Mus musculus: one gene and its partners. The protein of the gene in region 3 interacts with the protein of the main gene of each other region in a pairwise test. Links are inferred from orthologs where the notes say so. Each region holds a gene or a part of one and is shown on either strand. Other genes may lie near its edges. The genes, in order: Fam117b, Fhl5 and Banp.

Region 1 (3,653 bases), on a different chromosome or scaffold from region 3:
GCCCTGGGTCTTGCAAAGATTATATACCCCCCAATACAGGGGAATGCCAGGCCAGGAAGCGGGAGTGGGTGGGTTGGGGAGCAGGGCGAGGGGAGGGTATAAGGGACTTTCAGGATAGCATTTGAATTGTAAATGAAGAAAATATCTAATAAAAAAATTGTTTAAAAAAAAATACATGGCTTCCATTAAGATAAAAAGAAAACAAAAACCAAAACCAAAAACTAAAATTAGAGAACCCACAGGAGACTGTAGACAGGGTTGGGCTCACAACTCCCATCACCCAGTTCTTCAGAGGTTTACTCTTATTTTATTCATCAGTTCAACAACGTTTCCAGAGTCATGGGGACACCAGAATCTTCCTATAACATACCCAGGCCTGGCTCCCTAGATGGAAAAGCCTTTTGGATGTGGTTATCACAATGGGCTTCAGCATTGCCTATTTACAAAAGCCATGGTCTGTTTGGATGCTCCAGCATCTTCAGGTCCAATGAGGTACTTTAAACACAGGCACAGCCATCTTGCAGGGGTACCAGGTGGCCCTCCTGAAGTGCCCAGGCCAGGCTTTATGTTTTCAGGCCTGTCTGTCTATTCTATCCTAACCAATAAGATGACATTTCTTGGAGTAAGTCCTCTATGTCGAATTTAGTTTGTAATTACAATTTTTCAATGCAAAAACTTAACTGCAAACAGTACTAGAAGTCTTTGCAGCCTTTCATTCTCCATTACCAAGAGTGCAATACTGTGCTGCTGATCCACGGCTTTGCAAATGCTCCTCAAAATCTCCTCAAGCACTTACTACTCAGGTATACGGTTGCTGTTCCTGAGAAAACAGCAACAGTGAGCCAGACACAGCTTCACCTTACTGGGATTCACTGTCTAGTAAGTATGAAAAACAATGGGTAAATGATTGTACAAATGTCTAATTAATTACAATGTGGTAATACTATAAAAAGAAACTCCAAACTAGCATGCAATCATGAACTGCTTGTACAATATTGGACTTCAATGTTTGTTTGTTTGTTTTCCCAAGACAGGGTTTCTCTGTGTAGCCCTGGCTTTCCTAGAGCTCACTCTGTAGACCAGGCTGGCCTCAGAGCTCTCCCTGCCTCTGCCTCCCAAGTGCTAAGATTAAAAGCACATGTCACCACCTCTAGCTGGACTTCAACTCTTTAACTATAAATTTATAAATTATTATATGTTAACATTCTAGCATCCTCTTAATTAGTCAATTTGATAGATGTAAAAGTATGAAACTTCACTTTCAGACTACCATTTGTTGAGATGTTTACATTTATGGAATCTATTAGCAATGGAGCCAGTAAATGGGCTTAGTAGTGTATGATAGCGCACTGCTGACCTATGTTTAATCCCTAGAATTCATGTAAAGTTGGAAAGTGAGAATTGACTTCACAAAGTTGTGCTCTAATTTCTATATGCACTCAAGCACTCTACAGTATAAGCATGCAGATATGTGAGCACACACACACACACAAAATCAACAATGTAATATAGCTCTCCCAAAATATAAAGGTTTTGGGGGCACAAAAATAAATGGTATGCAGAATAATCCTCTACTACAAATTTTTGAGTCTAAATTCCAGACATGAAAATATTGTGAGAATGTAATCTAACTTCTAAGGAATAAATAAGGGGAAGTATGTTCGCAATTATATATTTCTATGGGAGTTACTTTTGAGAACTTTTAGAAATTCATGCTCCCAGGCCAAACAAATCCAGACAAATATCTGGAAGGTAGGCCTGGAAACCTGTACTTCTCAAAAGCTTCGGAGGAAATTCTGGTGTGCACTCAATGCTTCAGAGAAGAACAAGTAAGAGAAACCTACCTGTGTGGCCTTGTCCCTCATGCAGGGTGCGGCTTGCCCACGAATGTCTCGGGGCCAGTGCCCAGCAAGGTATGGAGCTGCGAGGGTATCCAGGGAAGATGTGCGTCGGATAATGCTGGAGGAGCTTGAGGAAGGCGGGTGTGTTTTGTCACCTAGGTATAAAGCAAAAGTGTTCATGTAAAAAAATTTTAAGCTTTATAGAAGTTCTTCAACTTAAATATGCAAAAACAAACAAGTAAGAACAAGGCAATAAACAAAGCCCAGACCCAATCTAAAACACTGACCACAAAAATAGAAGAACAGGTATTGATAACACAACTCACAGTTGATTCCAAAGGGCTAAATACTATCATTTCATATGTAGTATATTTAAAATAAACTGGCCGGGCATGGTGGCGCACGCCTTTAATCCCAGCACTTAGGAGGCAGAGGCAGGCGGATTTCTGAGTTCGAGGCCAGCCTGGTCTACAGAGTGAGTGCCAGGACAGCCAGGGCTACACAGAGAAACCCTGTCTCAAAAAAACTAAATAAATAAATAAATAAATAAATAAAGCAAATACTGTTAGTTCAGAACCTTTAGGCTTCAGCCTTAGCAACTAGCTATGCATACTCTTAAGTCTGACTCTAAGAAGACAACTAATAAAGACCCTTAGAAAATACAGTTCCTGACTGAGAGAGGTCTGGTGTGGGAAGCCACATGTGCCGTTGCAGAGTGGCACTGACTACTGCTGGCCACCACGCATAAGTTTGGACAAACAACCAATGTGTACATATGCAGTAAAGTTTTTTGCAAAGACACTGCCTGGCCCGGGCATGATAATGAGGTTCTGTAAGGTACTGAGAGTATAACCAATCAGATGTGAGACATGCAAATGAGGTATGATAATGAGGCTCTGTGAGGTACTGAGAGAGTAACCAATCAGATGTGAGACATGCAAATGAGGTATGATAATGAGGCTCTGTGAGGTACTGAGAGAGAGAGTAGCCAATCAGATGAGGAACATGCAAATGAGGCATAGTGCATAACCAATCCGGGTGTAAGACACGCCTCTCCTAGGCCTATAAAAGCAGCACCAGTTCTGGGCTCAGAGTCTTTTCGCCTCTACAATCAAGCTCTCCCAATAAACGTGTGCAGAAGGATCCTGTTGCAGCATCGTTCTTCCTGGCCAGTTGAGCGCGCGCAAGAGTCTGGGCAAACAACACCCTAACAGTGGTATGGTTTTTTTTTTTTTCATGTGCTTACATCCACTCTAATTTGATAGCACTGTCTTTATTTTTTTAATTGGATATTTTATGTATTTACATTTCAAATGTTATCTTCTTTCCTGGTTCCCCCCGCCCCCCCATCACCTCCCTCCCCCTGCTTCTATGAGGGTGCTCCCCCACCCACCCAATCCCGACTCTCCGCCCTAGCATTCCCCCTACACTGGAGCATCAAGCCTTCAAAGGACCAAGGGCCTCCCCTCCCATTGATGCCCAATTAGGCCATCCTCCACTACATAGATGGCTGGACCCATGGGTCACTCCATGTATATACTCTTTAGTTGGTGTATTAGTCCCTGGGACCTCTGGGGGGGGGGGTGTCTGGTTGGTTGATATTGTTATTCTTCTTATGGGGTTGCAAGCCCCTTCAGCTCCTTCAGTTTTTTCTCCTCCATTGGTGACCCCATGCTCAGTCGAATGGTTGCTTGGCTGCGAACATCTGAGTATCTATCTCTGTATTTGTCTGGCTCAGGCAGAGCCTCTCAGGAGACAGCTATAACAGGCTCCTGTCAGCAAGCACTTCTTAGCATCCACAATAGTGTCTGG
Region 2 (3,653 bases), on a different chromosome or scaffold from region 3:
AGTGGTGATAGTAATAATAGGTAGAATTGGGGCATTGATTGACTCATGGGATAGGAAAGGACCAAAATAAAAGGGGTGAGCATAGCAGAGAGGGAGGAAAGATTTTAAGAGCCAGAGAAACAGGAAATTTGCCATCAAATCATTGCTTTTAGGTATGAGAAGGGAGCTGCATCCATGAAATCTAAACATGGATGCCTAAACTAGACCTGAACGATTCCCAAAACAGTTAATGCTCTAACATGGGGTGGGGGGGATTTCATCAGGCCTCATACCTAGGTGAATAGCTAGGAGTAAGGGATGCTGAGAGAAAAACTATTAGTATTTCCCAGCGATGAGCCCAGATTAGTTTTCTTTTTTTTTTCTTTTCCATTTTTTATTAGGTATTTAGCTCATTTACATTTCCAATGCTATACCAAAAGTCCCCCATACCTAATACTAAATGGTCAGTACTAGAATAAACACCTCCAGGAACCACTAAAAGGACTCATTAGGTTGTGTTTATATGTTTATTTGCTTACATGTCTATGTAGCAACAAAGGTTAAAGAAGAGGCTGGAAATCTGAGAGGGGGACTAACTTATGAGGGGTAGGAGGGAGAAGATAAAGAAGGAAAATAATATTGTATTTTAATTAAACTTTTAAGTGATGTTATTTACATGGGACCATTTTCCCTGAAAGAAAGCAATTCCTCTCAAACTAGTTTGTATAGAGCTATAAAATGATGCCTATTGGTCCACTGAAAAGGCCAAACTGGTAAAGGAACTTGATGCTATGCCTGCTGACTTAAGGTTGATCCCTGGATCCTGTATGGGGAAAAAAGAGAACTCACTCACAAAAGTTGTCCTCTAGTTACATAGACAAAGTATGGAGCAGAGACTGAAGGAATGACCATCCAGAAACTGCCCCTCCTGGGGATCCATCCCATATACAATCACTAAACCCAGACACTTTTGTGGACGCCAACAAGTGCTTGCTGACAGAAGCCTATTATAGCTGTCAACGCAGAGGTTCCACCAGTGCCTGACAAATACAGAGGTGGATCCTCCTAGCCTACAGGGTCCCCAATGAAGGAGCTAGAGAAAGGGCCCAAGGAGCTGAACAGGTTAGCAGCCCCATAGGAGGAACAACAATATGAACTAACCAGTACCCCCAGAGCTCCCAGGGACTAAATCACCAACTAAAGAGTATACATGGTAGGACTCATGGCTCTAGCTACATATGCAGCAGAGGATGGCCTAGGTCTAGTCAGTCATCAATGAGAGGAGAGGCCCTTGGTCCTGTGAAGGCTTGATGCCCCAGTGTAGAAGAATGTCAGGGATAGGAAGTGGGTGTGGGTTGGGTAGTGAGCAGGAGGAGGGGGAGGGGGATGGGGGCTTTCAGAGGGGAAACCAGGAAAAGGGACAGCATTTGAAATGTAAATAAAGTAAATATCTAATAATAAAAAAAGAAGTCCTCTGACACTCCCAAAAGAAAAGAATACACAAATAAAATAAGTGAATAAATGAATGAATGACAGAGTGAGGATTATGGCCAAATTCTTATGAAGACTGATCCTTTTAACACCACTGATTATGCCCAAGGCAGGGCGTTTTCAGTTGCTCTTCTGGTATAAGCTTTATCCTTCAGTTCTGTCTCTGGCTCAACAAGTCTCTATGAATTAGGTTTTATGAAAAAGAAGACATTGGTCACTGCAAAAATATCACAAAATTGCAGAGCACCATCATTTATGTGTTCAGGAAGAATGGATGAATGGAAAATCAGAGGAAGAAAGCAAGAACAGCACTTCTTTTCTTAGAGCAGTGTTGTGAGCCAGTGATGCTAGTATTGTGACTAGAGATGCAGTTTCCTTAGGCAGAGCCACCCGGATCTCACCTGGCATGATGGTTCTCTTGCAGTGGAAGCACTTGGAGGAACACTCGTTGGAATAGCAGTCTGTGCACAGCAGGCGATCATCCTTGGCAACGAAAGGCTTTTCCACCAAAGAGTGATGGCATTTGTTGCACCTGAAGCATCCTTCATGCCAGTGACGGTTTTTGTAGCAAAGATCCTTTCAGACAGGAAATGAAGTTAATTAAATGTGCTTGCAATAAAACAAGCTGTTTTCTAAGACAAGATGGGACATTCTTGGGAACCTAGTGCCACTAGTTTCAGGGAGAGTTGCTGAAACTGTTATCTGTAAAAAGGAGACTGGAGTAATTAGAGCAAAAAACTCAGGCTTGTTTGAGTGGCCATTGAAAAATAATCTCGCTGGATTTTATCAATTTTATCTATCTTTCTTTTATAGCCTACCAGAAAGGTTTTACATGGAATTATTTTATTTTATTTTATTTTATTTTATTTTATTTTATTTTTTTAGTTGTGGTATCTTATTATCTATTGAGACTTCAAACAAATGACAACACTTAGCTAAAGCAAAGGCAAGGAAGAAGAGAAAGCAAATAATATTCGTAAAGGAGGAGAGAGTGTGAGGTGAGAAGGTGCAGCCTGCAGGGCTAAGGGAACAAGGCAGACTTTTAAGAAGGCATTTCTATTCCCTATACTTCCAAATTTTTAAATGTATTTTATATACCTTAGCTATTCCAGAAGTAACAACATTTTAGTTGTAAAATTCTGGGGAAACAGTTTAATTTCTTACATTTTTTTGTTTTTACTCATCCTAAAACTACTACTCAGACACACAGACACACACACACCACACACCAGCACACACACACACCACACCCTGCCACACACACAAGTTGTCTTAAGAATAGGATGAGGTTAAAACTTGTGTTTCACAGCCTTACACTGTAGAAAACGTGGGTAAAAGTCAACAGAGAAAAGGAGCATCCTGAAGCAATGACCTACTATATATGAGCAGTAACTGTGTGAACAGAAGTGACTCCTACCTTAGAATCTGATTCAATTGGTTCTTTACACTGCTCACAATAGTTAGAAAAGATACGATCGTAGCAGGAGATGCAGTATAGATTATCATCCTTGAGTACATATTTCTTCCCAATCAGGGATGAAGTGCAGTATTGACAATCAAATTGACTACTTGTCATTTCAGTTTTATCCTATGGATTAAAAAAAAAAAGACTTTGTACATTACATAGTGTCATTACAAATAAAATAAATCCTTTATAAAATGTGAGTCAAGCATTTGAGTTTATACGTTACTAGGCAAAATTTCACAAATTTAGGGAGCTGCTTGTAGTCATGGTGATTTAGAAAAGGCTACCCATCTTGGGAGTTCTTTTGAATGATCTCTTTCCCCCTCTACCTATGTCTGAGACAGGGTTTCTCTTTATAGACTTGGCTGTCCTTAAGCTCTCTCTTGCTGCAGATCATGCTATCCTTGAACTCATGGAGATCCACCTGCTTTTCCCCCACGTGCTGGGATTAAAGATGTGTGCCACCACCACCCAGTCTGTGCCACCACCACCTGGCCTTCTTTTTCTTAAAACAAAAACCATCCAAATCGTGAGACAAATCTTTTATTCACCATGTGCCAATGTAGGAATCAGTGAGAACGTGGTAGACAGGAGATGCCCCACATCAACACAATCCTGGGACCTGTGGACAGCGTGGTTATAACTGGCATTACATAGCTATCATCATGAGTTCTGAAAGTGGGATTTCATAGAAATAACAATTCCTTTTTTTTAATTC
Region 3 (3,653 bases):
CCCACAAGAGGAGCAGTTTCCAACTAGCAAGCTGGAAGTCAGCAGCAGGCCATGTGCTCGGTAAGCTCAACAGGATGGCTTTGCTCTCCCAAGGGCCAGTCCTGTCACAAGCTACCATGTACATGGCGCACACAGGAACTCTACTGTGAAGAGAGGCCTCCCAGGCAACATTCTGGGTGCCAGGAAATCATTCAACTGTGTATGGCCAGCAGCCGCTGAAGAAAACACAATGAGGATTCGGCTGGAAGAGAAATGCAGCCTCAGGCACCTCAGGAAGAAGGTGCTAGCCTATGAGAACAAAGGGTCAGGCCAGCGCTGGACCTCAGAGCACAGGCAGGCAGAACAGCGTGTCCCTCTGCACCCAGTCCAAGTTAATGGGAGCCATCTCTGCTCTAACTTGAAAGGGAATCACGGAGCAGAATCACAATCATAACAGCCACAGAAGCAGATACCACACCAACAACAACCGGGTGTGGCAAAGCACGAATGCATGGGTCAGAGCATTCTGAGTAGCCAGGCACGGCCCTGAAGAACCCTGAGCTTGCTCTATTTCTCTGCTATGCACAGCAGTCAGGAGCAGCCATGGGAAAGTGCTGCATACCCAAAGCCCTCACATCTGCCCCAACTCAGCACATCCTCTGCCAGAGCCAGCACCACTTAGAGAAGATTCCTTTTCTTCAGTGCTACGGGCCTTACTCCTCCATTTCCTGTCATTAACCAGCACCCTGAACCCTGGCTTAAAGGCCTCTTTTCACAGAAAGACACTAGTAAGAAGAAGGTTAAGGAGAAGACCTGACGCTCCCCGCTAACCATGCTCTCTAGGGGCAAGGCTGTGCCTGCGAGGGAACAAGCAGCAGCGCTCAGCTCATCCCCAGTGTCCACTCGGCTATCAACGGAGCAGCGTCGGCAGTGCAGGCAGACACCATGACAACTACATGGTGGCCAACTGAGAGAGGAAAATCCCTGTTACAGACTAACTAACATCTCAAGCAAACCCATAGAGGAGAAGAGAGACAGCATTCTTCCTGACACTGCTCCACGGGTCAGGTGCCCACAAACAGCCCTGACCTGTCTGGTGAGAATTACTTTGGCAATTTGGTACGTGAATGTCTTCCAATCCCGTGACAGCACTCGGCTGCATGCGACAGCACACATGCAGTGTCTCCAGCAGACCCCAGGCAGCTGCTTTCCTCCATGGTCTGTTTCTCTGTGTGCTCTATGCTACAGTTAAGGTCACGGGTTACTTTGAGATCTGATACTGTCAAGGTGGATTTCACTCAATATTTTTTGAGATAGCTTCTTTCTATGTAGCCCTGGCTGTTCCAGAACTCAATATGTACACCAGGCTGGCCACAAACTCAGAGATCTGCCTGCCTCTGCCTCTCAAGTGCCAGGGTTAAAGGTGCGTGGTGCCCCTTCTGGCCTGAGTAGATTCTGAATTCCCAGCTTCAGCTGGCACTACCTTCTTGTCACCAGAGTGAGCTGAGTGTCTTAAGAAGTCACAGTTGACACAGAGAAGCCTATGACAAGGACTGGTGTCATCTGAGTCACTCTTATAAACTTCTCTCCTGTAATAATATTCACCTCGTGTTCTGCAGACACTGGATCCCAAATAAGCAAGTCCGGAAGCAATGCACCGACTGCCTAAGGAGCCTCCAACCCCAGCCAGCCTTGGGGGTGGGCCCCAGTGACCTCAGGACTTGGGGGTGGGCCCAAGTGACCTCAGCTCTCCTCCCACCTGAGGCAGGCTTACTCAGGCACAGGAAGACTCTTCGCTTGTCCTCTCCCAAATCCAGTGTTTCCTCCTGTCTTTTGCCGGAAGGACCTGGCCTGTATTTTCTGCAGCATTTCAGTGGCATCTCAATACTACAGGGCCAGGCCCTTCCTGTGGCCTCATCTGGAAAAAAGCTCTTTGCACATGTATTTAAATAAATGACCCATCTGGGCCTGAGTGAGGGTAGGCCTCAGGCATGGACTCGAGTAATAAGGCTGGGACCAATAGGTCACAGCAGAGGAGGCAGGGAGAGCCTCCTTAGAATCCCAGAAGGTGTGGCCCTGCCACTGCAGAGCTGCAAGAGGGTTGGTTCTGCTATTCTAAGCCCAGGTTGATGGTAGAAAGTTACACAGTGCCCACAGGAGCCACACGGTACCTTTATAGAGGGGTCCTGGCAATTGATCTCTAGTCGCTGGCGCTTCAAGGCAGGTTCATCATCATCTGTCACGACATGATTCTCCAAAACAACTGAAAAGCAACCACAGAGACAGAAGCTGGAGTGAGCATGCTGAGTTCCTTGGGGCTCTGTGCCTCTACAGCCGAACACAGTGCCGGTACCTTGAGGCTGATGAAAATGGCACAGCCATTTCTTTGTTAAAATCCTCAGCCAGGCAGAAATCAGGCCCTCCCTCATCCATCCCCACCAAAATCAGACCACCCGATCGATACTCCCCAGAGCCTGGTGGGCAAAGCACACTGAGGCGCCGTCATCGGTGACTGCTTCCCCACTGTGTTTAGTGTGTCTGCGGCTACGTCACTGTAAAATCCAAAGCACCCTCACCTGGCCTGGCCTGAGGTCCTGGCCCACTCCCTGCATGGGGCTGAGAGCACGTACATACTGACAGCCACAACCCTCTCTGCATGTCATATGCCCCAATCTAGCACAGCCAACACGCTGACTTACACGGAAGCTGAACTGCTCACGAGCCGCCCACAAACAGTTCCTGCTGACCTTTAAGGCCTGCTTTCAGATAAGCAAGGTAACCCTAACGCCAACCTCTGCAGTACCATCCCAACGTATTAAAGTGATGATCACCAAGCCTAAGAGCAGTTACACCTTATCCCTGCCACACTGCACCTCTATAGCGACCTGCACGGACTAGTCCTGTTCTCACACAGGAGCACTCATTTCCCTAAAGCTTACTTTTATTTATATATATATGTGTGTGTGTGTGTGTGTGTGTGTGTGTGTGTGTGTGTGTGTGTGTGAGTAAATGTATGCAATTCGTGTGGGATGCCCTCAAAAGCCAGAAGGAGTTATAGGTGGTTGGAAGCTGTCCAATGTGGGAAGAAGCCCAGGTCCTCTGGAAGAGAAGAAGTACTCCTAACCACTGAGCCACTGCTCTGGCCTGATACAGCCACCTTCCCAGAATTCTGTGCTCAGCATTTGTACTGACTTTTATGCCATGAATAGTTTCATGTCACTAGTTCAGTTTTTCTCACTGAATGCCTGTGCATTTCTCCAGCCTCTGTGTGCTCACTCACAATAGAAAAGACGAGACTGCTACCTACAGCTCTGTGTCTGCCTTGCCTCCTCCTTTGGCAACACACAGCAGCCATCTAGAGCAATGGCCAGAACTCTTTTAAATAAGTATGTGTGGATGTGTGTGTGTGTGTGTGTGTGTGTGTGTGTACACAAGCACACATGCAGGCAGCCCTGCAATCATCCTATGATTTAAATTTTCACACAGGGCTGGCATCTCTGCTGTGTCTGCTTTACTGGGGAATGAAGTCCGGCAGAGTGGCTTTGATACTGAAAAGACAGGGAGAGCAACAGTGCATCGACTGTCTCACGGCTGTACCTGGGTGATCAGGGCTCAGGTCTTCCACTGCAATCTGAACCACATCCGCCAGGTCCTGCTCTGACATCATCCAGAGC

Evidence for each region.
Region 1: the proteins of Banp (region 3) and Fam117b interact in binary tests that used the Homo sapiens proteins (3 or more experiments, as listed by UniProt). The two-hybrid records come from large-scale screens. The link is inferred for Mus musculus from reciprocal best matches to the Homo sapiens genes BANP and FAM117B.
Region 2: the proteins of Banp (region 3) and Fhl5 interact in binary tests that used the Homo sapiens proteins (3 or more experiments, as listed by UniProt). The two-hybrid records come from large-scale screens. The link is inferred for Mus musculus from reciprocal best matches to the Homo sapiens genes BANP and FHL5.

The regions. Positions count from the first base shown.
Region 1 is NC_000067.6:59,947,396-59,951,048, reverse strand, and holds part of Fam117b (protein FAM117B), read right to left. Parts: intron 1,997-3,653; coding exon 1,845-1,996; intron 1-1,844.
Region 2 is NC_000070.6:25,211,730-25,215,382, forward strand, and holds part of Fhl5 (four and a half LIM domains protein 5), read right to left. Parts: intron 3,059-3,653; 5' UTR 3,047-3,058; coding exon 2,888-3,046; intron 2,047-2,887; coding exon 1,872-2,046; intron 1-1,871. UniProt on the Homo sapiens protein: May be involved in the regulation of spermatogenesis. Stimulates CREM transcriptional activity in a phosphorylation-independent manner.
Region 3 is NC_000074.6:121,974,489-121,978,141, reverse strand, and holds part of Banp (protein BANP), read right to left. Parts: 5' UTR 3,647-3,653; coding exon 3,577-3,646; intron 2,243-3,576; coding exon 2,151-2,242; intron 119-2,150; exon of another isoform or gene 56-118; intron 1-55. UniProt on the Homo sapiens protein: Controls V(D)J recombination during T-cell development by repressing T-cell receptor (TCR) beta enhancer function. Binds to scaffold/matrix attachment region beta (S/MARbeta), an ATC-rich DNA sequence located upstream of the TCR beta enhancer.